Linked DNA regions of Stegostoma tigrinum. The protein of the gene in region 1 interacts with the protein of each later gene in a pairwise test. Links are inferred from orthologs where the notes say so. Each region holds a gene or a part of one and is shown in the gene's direction. Other genes may lie near its edges.

What was found.
Region 2: the proteins of large proline-rich protein BAG6-like (region 1) and klhl12 interact in binary tests that used the Homo sapiens proteins (3 or more experiments, as listed by UniProt). The two-hybrid records come from large-scale screens. The link is inferred for Stegostoma tigrinum from reciprocal best matches to the Homo sapiens genes BAG6 and KLHL12.
Region 3: the proteins of large proline-rich protein BAG6-like (region 1) and rnf126 interact in binary tests that used the Homo sapiens proteins (3 or more experiments, as listed by UniProt). The link is inferred for Stegostoma tigrinum from reciprocal best matches to the Homo sapiens genes BAG6 and RNF126.

What each region holds. Positions count from the first base shown.
Region 1 is NC_081387.1:19,777,577-19,781,327, reverse strand, and holds the start of large proline-rich protein BAG6-like, read left to right. Parts: upstream 1-1,339; 5' UTR 1,340-1,696; intron 1,697-3,751. UniProt on the Homo sapiens protein: ATP-independent molecular chaperone preventing the aggregation of misfolded and hydrophobic patches-containing proteins.
Region 2 is NC_081374.1:45,325,056-45,328,806, reverse strand, and holds the start of klhl12 (kelch-like protein 12), read left to right. Parts: upstream 1-1,229; 5' UTR 1,230-1,409; intron 1,410-3,281; 5' UTR 3,282-3,396; intron 3,397-3,751. UniProt on the Homo sapiens protein: Substrate-specific adapter of a BCR (BTB-CUL3-RBX1) E3 ubiquitin ligase complex that acts as a negative regulator of Wnt signaling pathway and ER-Golgi transport.
Region 3 is NC_081383.1:14,959,111-14,962,861, reverse strand, and holds the start of rnf126 (E3 ubiquitin-protein ligase RNF126), read left to right. Parts: upstream 1-867; 5' UTR 868-910; coding exon 911-982; exon of another isoform or gene 983-1,264; intron 1,265-3,751. UniProt on the Homo sapiens protein: E3 ubiquitin-protein ligase that mediates ubiquitination oF target proteins. Depending on the associated E2 ligase, mediates 'Lys-27'-, 'Lys-29'-, 'Lys-48'- and/or 'Lys-63'-linked polyubiquitination of substrates.

The sequences.
Region 1 (3,751 bases):
AGTTTGAAGGGTCAGTTTCTGTGCTGTACAACTCTACAACTACAAACAGTAAGTGTGACTGTGGACACATAGTGGCTGTGTACAAACAGTGAATGTGTACAGACTGACAGTGACTGTGTACAGTAGGTTACTATGATTGTGTATAGACAGTTGCTGCACACATACAGTGACTGTAATTGTTGAAGACAGTGACTATGTACAGGCAGTGAGTGTGTACATACAGTGATTGTGTACAAGCAGTGTGTACAGTCAATGAGGGTGCACAGACTGTGAACAGGAAGTGAATGTGTGCACTCAGACTGTGTACAGAATATGGCTATATCACAGTATGAGTGTGACTGTGTACAGACTGTGAGTATGTCCAGTCAGGGAATGTGTACAGGCAGACTGTGTAAAGGCAGTGAGTGTGTGTGCAGACTGTGACAGTGTACCAACTGTGTGTGCACAGATTGTGACTGTACTTGCTGCGGGTGCAAACAGAATGTGTGTACAGGCAGTGAGTGTTTATAGACTGTGACAGTGTACAGAATGTGACAGTGTGCAGACTGTGTGTGCACAGATTGTGACTGTGTACAGGCTGTGGCTGTGTACAGGCAGTGAGAGTATACAGTCAGTGATAGTGTACAGGCAGTGAGCATGTACAGACAGTGACACTGTACAGACTGTGACTGTGTACAGGCAGTGTATTCAGGCTGTGTGAGTACATGTAATGAGTGTGTACAGAATGTGAGTGTGCCTCTGTAAAGGCAGTGTGTCCATACAGTGAGTGTATACAGTCAGTGAAAGTGAGTGCATAAGGCAGGGAGTTATAGTCAGTAAGTGTGTACAGACTGTGAACAGGCAGTGAGTGTGTACATGCAGTGTGTATGTACAGTCTGGAAAGTGTACAGACAGATTGTGTACAGCTGTGAGCATGTACTGGCAGTGACTGTGTACATGCTGTGAGTGTGTACAGACTGTGTCCACAGTTAGTAAGTGTGTACAGACTGTGAGGATGTACTGGCTGTGACAGTATATCTGCTGCAAGGGTGTGGAGACTGTGAATGTGTACATGCAGTGAGTGTGTATAAACTGTGAGTGTGAATCTGAGCAGGTAGTGTGTGTGTGTACAAACTGTCGCTGTGTGTGTACAAGCTGTAGCTGTGTACATGCAGTGTGTACTGACGGTGAGCGTGATTGTACAGACTGAGTGTGACATGCACAGGCTGTTAGTGTGTACAGGTGGTGCATATGCGCAGACAGTCACTGTGTATAGGCTGAGAGTGTGAACAGGCAATGAGTGTGTACGGGCAATGACTGTACACAGACTGTCAGTGTGTGAGGAAAATGACTGGGCACAGGCTGAGTGTGTACAGGCAGTGAGCATGACTATACAGGCTGTGAGTGTGTACAGGCAGTGAATGTGAGCGTGTGCAGGCTGTGAGTGTGTACAGGCAGAGACAGTGAGTGTGCAGGCAGGCGGGAGCGGGGCAGCCGCGGTCTCCATGGTTGCCGGAGGGGGCCTGGCGGGGAGTGCGCAGGCGCACTGCTTCTCGGGGACGGTGCCGAGCGCGGAGACGGTCACAGAGAGAGCGGCCGGTGGGTGGCGAGACACGGGCCTGTTCATCACCGCCGGCAGGGAGCTGCACCAACACCCTCGTCCCGGCTGCTCCACTTCCGAGGCGGCGGAGAGCCCGGAGCGGGATCGGGAACCAGGGTGAGTGCGCCACGGGCCGCAGGAGGGAGTGAGGGCCCGGAGCCAGGCCTGAGGGAGTAGGCCGCGGGACGGGGGGGTGGTGGGGGAAGCTTGGGGGTGTGAGCCAGGAGCTGGGGTGAAGGTGGTTCCCTATTCCCCCCCCCACCGCACCCACTCGCGTTTTCCCTCCGTGTGTGTCCTCAGAACCTGCGACACTCCCCACCAATTACCCACACACACACACTCCCCCCCACACACTCCCCCCCCCCACAACACACACTCCCCCCCCCCCAACACACACTCCCCCCCCAACACACACTCCCCCCCCCCCCAACACACACTCCCCCCCCAACACACACTCCCCCCCCCCAAACACACACTCCCCCCCCCAACACACACTCCCCCCCAACACACGCTCCCCCCCCAACACACACTCCCCCCCCCCAACACACACTCCCCCCCCCAACACACACTCCCCCCCCAACACACACTCCCCCCCCCCCAACACACACTCCCCCCCCAACACACACTCCCCCCCCCCCCCAACACACACTCCCCCCCCCAACACACACTCCCCCCCAACACACGCTCCCCCCCCAACACACACTCCCCCCCCCCAACACACACTCCCCCCCCAACACACACTCCCCCCCCCCCAACACACACTCCCCCCCCCCAACACACGCTCCCCCCCCAACACACGCTCCCCCCCAACACACACGCTCCCCCCCCCAACACACACTCCCCCCCCCCCAACACACACTCCCCCCCCCCAACACACACTCCCCCCCCAACACACACTTCCCCCCCCAACACACACTCCCCCCCCAACACACACTCCCCCCCCCAACACACACTCCCCCCCCAACACACACTCCCCCCCCCAACACACACACTCCCCCCCCCAACACACGCTCCCCCCCCCAACACACGCTCCCCCCCCAACACACGCTCCCCCCCCCCCAACACACACTCCCCCCCCCAACACACACTCCCCCCCCCCAACACACACTCCCCCCCCCCAACACACACTCCCCCCCCAACACACACTCCCCCCCCAACACACACTCCCCCCCAACACACACTCCCCCCCCCAACACACACTCCCCCCCCCAACACACACTCCCCCCCCCCAACACACACTCCCCCCCCCAACACACACACTCCCCCCCCCAACACACGCTCCCCCCCCCAACACACGCTCCCCCCCCCAACACACCTGCCTCCCCCCCCAACACACGCTCCCCCCCCAACACACGCTCCCCCCCCCAAACACACGCTCCCCCCCAACACACGCTCCCCCCCCAACACACACGCTCCCCCCCCCAACACACACGCTCCCCCCCCCCAACACACACGCTCCCCCCCCCAACACACACACCCCCCCCAACACACGCTCCCCCCCAACACACGCTCCCCCCCCCCCCAACACACGCTCCCCCCCCCCAACACACGCTCCCCCCCCCAACACACGCTCCCACCCCCCCAACACACGCTCCCCCCCCCAACACACGCTCCCCCCCCAAACACACGCTCCCCCCCCAACACACACTCCCCCCCCCAACACACCTCCCCCCCCCACACACACTCCCCCCCCCCCCACACACACACTCCCCCCCCCCACACACACACCCCCCCCCCCCCACACACACACTCCCCCCCCCCACACACACACACCCCCCCCACCCACACACCCCCCACCCACACACCTCCTCCCCCAACACACACTCCTCCCCCAACACACACACCCCCCCACCACACACACACTCCCCCCCCACCACACACACACACCCCCCCCCACCACACACACACACCCCCCCCCCCACACACACACCCCCACACACCACACCCCCCCACCCACACACTCTCCACCCACACACTCTCCACCCCACACTCTCCACCCACACACTCTCCACCCACACACTCCTCCCCCAACACACCACACTCCCCCCCCCCCCACATCACACTCCCCCCCCCACACACACTCCCCCCCCCACACACACTCCCCCCCCCCACACACACCCCCCCCACACCACACTCCCCCCCCACACACACTCCCCCCACACACACTCCCCC
Region 2 (3,751 bases), on another chromosome or scaffold:
TGTTGGTAGGGGGCCTTTAGGGGGTGGGGAAGGTGATGGTGGGAAGGGTGTAGGGGGGCTTTAGGGGATGGGGAAGGTGATGGTGGGAAGGATTTAGGGGGTGGGGAGGTGTTGGTAGGGGGGCTTTAGGGGATGGGAAAGGTGATGGTGGGAGGGGTTTTGGGGGTGGGGAGGTGTTGGTAGGGGGGCTTTAGGGGTTGGGGAAGGTGATGGTCGGTGGGGTTTAAAGGGTGGTGAGGTGTTGGTAGGGGGGGCTTTAGGGGGTGGGGAAGGTGATAGTGGGAGGGGTTTGGGGGTGAGGAGGTGTTGGTAGGGGGGCTTTTAGGGTGGGGAAGGTGATGGTGGGAGGGGTTTGGGGGTGGGGAGGTGTTGGTAGGGGGGCTTTAGGGGGTGGGGAAGGTGATGGTGGGAGGGGTTTGGGGGAGGGAAGTGTTGGTAGGGGGGCTTTAGGGGGTGGGGAAGGTGATGGTGGGAGGGGTTTGGGGGAGGGAGGTGTTGGTAGGGGGGCTTTAGGGGGTGGGGAAGGTGATGGTGGGAGGGGTTTGGGGGGTGGGGAGGTGTTGGTAGGGGGCTTTAGGGGTGGGGAAGGTGATGGTGGGAGGGGTTTGGGGTGGGGAGGTGTTGGTAGGGGGGCTTTAGGGGGTGGGGAAGGTGATGGTGGGAGGGGTTTGGGGGAGGGAAGTGTTGGTAGGGGGGCTTTAGGGGGTGGGGAAGTTGATGGTGGGAGGGGTTTGGGGGAGGGAGGTGTTGGTAGGGAGGTTTTAGGGGGTGGGGAAGGTGATGGAAGGAGGGGTTTAGGGGGTGGGGAGGTGTTGGTAGGGGGCTTTAGGGGATGGGGAAGGTGATGCTAGGAGGTGTGTAGGGGGGCTTTAGGGGGTGGGGAAGGTGATGGTGGGAGGGCTTTAGGGGGTGGGGAAGGTGATGGTAGGAGGGGATTAGGGGATGGGGAGGTGTTGGTAGGGGGGCTTTAGGGGATGGGGAAGGTGATGGTGGGAAGGGTTTTGGGGGTGGGGAGGTGTTGGTAGGGGGGCTTTAGGGGGTGGGGAAGGTGATGATGGGAGGGGTTTGGGGGAGGGAAGTGTTGGTAGGGGGTCTTTAGGGGGTGGGGAAGGTGATGGTAGGCGGGGTTTGGGGGTTGGGGAGGTTTTGGTATGGGAGGGTGAGGATCAGCTGTTGAAAGATGTCACGTGAGCTTTCACTACGCGCGCATGCGTCAGGCCGTGCATTGTGGGTGTTGTAGTCCAGTAGGAGCCGCGGCTGGAGGGCGGTAAGAGCTCGGCTGGGGCTCGGGCCTTGGAGCTGCGGCCTGACCCCTAGCTCCTCTACACAATCTCCCATCCCCTCATCTGGGTGAGGAAAGGGCCGGCCGGCCGGCAAAACGCGGAGAGATGGGATCGGGAATGATCCTGGTAAAGATGAAATGTTCTGTGTTTTATGTTAAAGATGAAAACCCTGCAATTGGTCGTCAAGGCTGTACATCTCGGGGTGATCACTGAGGAAGATCGCTGAGGGGGGGTAGAATGGGATGATCACTGGGTTAGTCGCTGAGGGAGGGGTTGGGGTTGATCACTGGGTTCGGAGGAGATGGCTGAGGGGGTGGGATGGCTGGTAATCAATGGGGGAGATCACCGTGGGAGAGGGGAATGGGGTGGTCATTGGGGGAGATCACTGAGGTGGGAAATGGCTGGTCGCTGGAGGAGATCACTGTGGGAGAGCGGAATGGGGGTGGGTCATTGGGGGAGATCACTGAGGGGGTGGAATGGCTGGTAATCACTGGGGGAGATCACCGAGGGAGAGGGGAATGGGGTGGTCATTGGGGGAGATCACCGAAGGAGAGGGGAATGGCAGGTAATCATGGGGGGAGATCACTGAGGGAGAGGGGAATTGGGGGTGGTCATTGGGGAAGATCATTGATGGTGTGGGATGGCAGGTCATCACTGGGGGTGATCACTGAGGGAGAGCAGAATGGGGGTGGTCGTTGGGGGAAGGTGAATGGGGATGATGAATGGGGGAGGGTGTGATCACGAGGAAGAGACAAGATGACCAGCGTCCGGAGGAAGGGCAAGGTGGAGAGACCTCCAGGAATCCAGGTGGCATGACTGGAGTTGTGCAGATCCAGGATGCAGTAGAAAATGAACAGTAGGAGGAGAGGAGGAAAAGATGAGGAATCCAGAGAATTGGAAATAAACACAGAAAGGGGTAGCAAGAGGGAAGAATATGGGGAGACAAGAACAGCAGCAAAGGTCAATAAATAGACAACAGTGTTTAAAGAAGACCACATAAATGGTGCAGATACTTTGTGATAGACGAAGAATTAGTTTGGAAATTTTGACTCCAGGTTTAAAGGTTTTGATGTGGAAATAATTACCTCGGGGAGAAGTTTCCCGAGAGTCCATTCAAGAAGGTGTCTGCTCTGCATTGGTTCTTGGTTATAATGAGAATCCAATATGACTTCTTCAGAACTCCAGCAGTAGTTTGCTTTTATTTCTTAGTTATAACTACTTTTGCTGGTGCCGAAAAGGGTCTTGCTCACATTCGCAGTGGTTTCACGGGGAAAGCATCCAAGGTGCTTCGAATGTTTAAATGTTAAAAATTAAATAGGGGGGTTTAAGAAGGTAAGTTCCAGAGTGTGGACCTAATCTTGTTGGAGACTTTGACACTACTTGTGTTTGGGGTGGGGGTGGTTAGCAATATGGTTAAAGCAAAGGATTCAAGAGAGTTGCAGTAGAGTTTAAGATCTGCAGTAAGATGGCATCTTTAAACCTATTGGTAATGGTTGAATAGAGCCTATGGTTACAGACCCATGCCAATTGATTAAATGCTTTCTTTGTTGCACAAATATTAGTGCTAGAGCAGCGCAGGATGTGTTAACATACCAGAAAAGGGTCAACAAGACAGCTTGGAAGGTCCGTATGCATCCTTCCAAATGAAAGTACTCGAAAGAGGAGGAAACAGTTAACACAAAGAAAATCCCAGCTCGACCAAAAAGGTTTACAGAAGCTATTTAAGCCATTCTGTTATCAAGAATACTGTGGAACCATTTTTCTGTGACCTATTTAAAGTAAGTGTTTCCATAGTGCATGGCTGAATTACTGGAACAGGCTCCTGGGGGTTGCAATTTTCTACTGATAGAAAGATGTCTCCTGCCTGGAGAGGAAGCAGAGCCTGTAACACTGTAGTATTTTCATTTCCTGATACAGATTCAGGTTGTGCACACATGGTGGAAGTGCATTCTTTGAGAAATGAATCAATTTTATCATATTGATTTTTTTTAATTGCAGGTGATATGACTGGATATGGCTGAAGGCGATTGAACTGGGAGAAATTCTGTGAAATTAGCTTTGCCCGGTTCTGGAAGAACAGAAAATCTCAGGAGTAATTTTATGCTGCTGGCAGGTGATGGACTTCAGTTCTGCCATGGCTTATCAAATGTGGTAGTAACTCTGGTTTGGCAAACAAGTCTAAGAATAAGCCTAAATAAAAACCGAAAGAACTGTGGATGCAGTAAGAATAAGCCATCTCTGTGGCGTGAAGACAAATAATATGTCTAATTCGTTTCAGTGTTCCTAAAACATTCCCAAGTCATCTTGTCAGGCTGTTTTTGCAATTTAACCTGTTTTCATTGTTTCTGTGGTCAGACTACAGGGTTGTTTGTTGCTTTTCAGGATCACAAGGATCTTCAGGCTCCCACTGCATTATTTTCTGTTGCAGCACCTCTGCCAGTGGATTCTTAAATTAATTTATTCAGTTT
Region 3 (3,751 bases), on another chromosome or scaffold:
CATTGAAAAGAAATGGAGACGTAAAAATTGATATGAATTGAGAACTGAAAGGGAGAAAAAGGGTCCTCCCTGCCGACAGTTAAGTGAATAAAACACAAACGAGACTTGACTGTGTTACTGGGGAGAAGGGGGAAGAATGTAAGGGAAACGGACAGCAGACAGCATGAGGTCGGGCGTCTGAAGTCGTGGAATTCAATAATGAGTCCTCGCAGTTGTAAACTGCCGAAGTGGAAAGTGAAGTGTGGTTCCTGGGATTGTACTTCATTGGAACACTGTACCAAGCCCAGGCCTGAAAGGCTAGCAGGAGTGCAAGGAGGGTTATTGAAACGGCAACTAGGAAGGTCGGGATCATTGCTAAATGAACAGTTTGATGTTGCCAATGTAAAACCACCTGCTGTTGGGAGCGTTCGAATACCACTGGTTAGACCGAATGAAGAGGGTGAAAGACCGCTGGGGATGCGCAGGAGGTTGAAATATAGCCAGCCTCCGATCTTATTGAATGGCAGGACCGGCTCGATGGTGTGGGGGGTGGAACGAGGGGCCTACAATGGTTCACACTTGGAGCCTGGGCCCAGCGAGGTTGAACAGGCCCCGGCGGCGGCCCGTGGAGGAAGACAAGCAGAAGGCGCCAAGCCGGTTGTCCCTGTCAGAGTCGGTAGTGGCGGCTCCTCACTGTCGCCATGACCAACGGGAGGGGAAGAAGGCGAATCGGGTAAGAAAGCCCAGGTCAGCGGTCATTATATAAAAACACACCCAGAGTTAAGACACACGAGTGGGTCGCGAATAACAACAGACCCTCCGCTCTCCGGTGATTGACAGATCCAAGTGCGTCACAATTGGCGTGTGAGGTCATATGTTGGATACGCCGGGGCACCCGTATTGTACGTCACTGTGGCGGCTTTACGTGAATATGGCGGAGGCTTCCTCACTCTCTCGCTATTTCTGTCACCGCTGCTCGGCCGAGATTCTCCCCAGGCTGCCCGTGAGTCCACAACTCTCGACCCTCACCCCACTCTCCTCTCCTCCCTGCGAATTACCGGTCGGTTTTGTTCCGTGGGTTAATTTTGTGTTTTTTTTAAAGAAAAATGCATTTTGTCGTTTGGACTCTGACGGTGAGGGTGACGGGCCCGGTCCGAGCTGACACGGCGAGTGATGTTGGTTGGGGGTTCGGGGGGGGTAGGGAGCCAGCAGCGGTTTCAGAGCCAATACAAGTTGGAGCCTTGGGCCTCTCTTTCAGTCTCTCCCACGAGCCGGGCTCCGGCTCTGCTTTGCGAAATATTGCCCCCCGCCACACTGGGCAACCCTTAGTGCGCAGGCGCGGAACCCCCATCAAAACCTCCAAGCCCGGCAACTTCAGATTCCTTCTTTTGGAATTTCAGGAACTTTTTTGGTGCTCCCTCTGACAACCAGCCCGCTCCACCCGATTTCAGCTCAGTCGAATTCCTTCCCCATCCTTTCTGCCTTACAGAAGCCACGTTAGCTTCTTTCACTTCCTCTGGTTTGTAGCTAGCTAATTTGCCACATTCCACAGTTGGCTATGACTAACTCTGGACACGTTTGGTGTTATGGAATGTTGCATGTGGCTATGCTATTCTATGCTTAACTGTGTCCATATCTGTCATGGTATGCCAAATTTGGTTGTGCTGTTCCATGACTAACTATGGACTGTGATATCTATGTGTAAGAGAGCACAAGTGAGAGGTACCCAGGCTCTTTACTGCTGTCTGGTAACTTGCCGTGAGTGCCATGACTGTGCTGTGTGTATGTCCACATGTATTCAACTGTGTTGTGACCCATTTGTCGTCCTGGTGTGTTCAGATCTGCCTGTTACGCTATACCTGTTCATTGTCAGTCTTTGTGCACCTTGAAGGAGTGGCATTCTTGCATCACGCCAGCTGTAGCTGATGGGTCCCTTTGCTTCGTTCTGCACAGTTGCCAAGTCGAGATTCCTGAAATGTAGCTGCTGGTGTGCATAGCTAGTGGTTGAAGTCAGAAGTGAGATGACAACTTGTTGGGCACTGGGTTCCTCTACCCCCACACCTTTTTAATGTGGATTTGTGGCTTGGCAGGGGTCAAGAATACAAGACCTCTCTAACATCTGTAATATGCTTCCATGGTGTCACTTATTTGATATAAATATCTTATAGACTTTTATTTCATTTAATTTCTTTCTCCTTAAGAGTTCTTCACCTATTTCTAGGCTAGCTTCTAAATGAATTAGTATGAAAGTTCATCTTGTACAATTTGAACTACCTGTTTAGGTGCTTGATGATTATCTTCAATTGCTGTAATTTAGTTCAGATTCTATGGTTCAATTGTGTAATACTGTTGATAGTGGAAATCTGATATGATAGCAGGAAATGCTGGAAACATTCAGCAGGTAAGGCAGACCTATGGGGGTGCGAGAGGATAGGTGACCCAACAAGCTTCTATTTTGTTTTGGTTTTTAATTATGAATATAGTTCAGTTTAAACCAGACTGCAGGGCAGTCTTGCATGACTATATCTGCTCACTTGCAACTGGGCAGAATTAAAGCATTAGATGATTTCATCTTACTTCACAATATTCGCTTATTTCACTACAAGTATGTAGTATTTTATTTGCTTACTGCTACAATGAACTGGGAAAATTGTAACTGAAACAAAAAGAAACAGTGTGACTTTTGAATTCAGTGGAAAGTCTCCAGTGTCATGACCCTCATGAGCTGCCTTTCTTTTGGTAATGCTATAGGCTTAATATGGAAAGATCTACAGCTTTCTCCATTCTTGGACATGGGTGACACCATGTGTCACTATGTAGTATGAGCAGAATCTGGGAAGCCTTTCACAATGCGCCACCTATAGATCACTGGAAATAAATCGAGGAAGTAAGAAAATGCTTATTTGCAGAAAAAAAGATTTTCTATATTATATTTTTGTTTTCTTCCAAGAGGATAAGTCCAATGTTGTCAATCATGTCTGATTTTAGGTGCTGATTATGTATTGGCTGACAATATATTGGTGTGTGTCAGTGGCAATGGGATGGTGGTTAGATCTTGATGATCTAAAACCACCTTGAGAATCAGTTTGTAATTCCTTTTCAAAAACTCAAAAGTACAATTTGCAAAATATAACTCAGACTACTTCTGAGATTTACTGTGAATGATCTGATTCCTGTTGTTGAATTTTATACCTGTAAAAATTGTAACTGCTCACCAAGTGGGTGATGAGTCATTTCCCTAGTTAGTTTTCTGTTTCGCCTTGCAGTTGTGTTTTTACTTTGTGCTCTAGAACATTCTGTCTTGGTGTTTCTCAAGCTTGAAATGATTAAATGAGAGTAGGTGCGGGTTAGCCATGTTCCACTGCCTCTGAGCCACAAGATTGTGGGATGAGTACCAGTTTGAGAGACCTGGTTGCTGAACCTAGGCTGACAGTCCAATGCAGCAGTGGACTATATGACGTGGTGACTCTGAAATGCAAAACCAAGCCATGCCCTTCTGCCCTATTAAAATGGGAGCAATTTAAAAAAGGATGGCAGTAGAGATTCTTATGTTGTGTTGACATTATATCTCTAAACTAATATCACTGAAACAAATCTGACCCTTTGTAGTAATTTAGCTGTATGTTTATGACAGAAAGTACCAGTTAGTTGCTTCAGTGCCTTTCTCTTTCTATTGTAAGGTGTACATGCAGTCTCAGGAGAGGTTGAATGCTAGTCCCTAGAAAGTACCAGATCAAAACATGTGACCACTTTCCCTGTTTTGCTTTTAGTT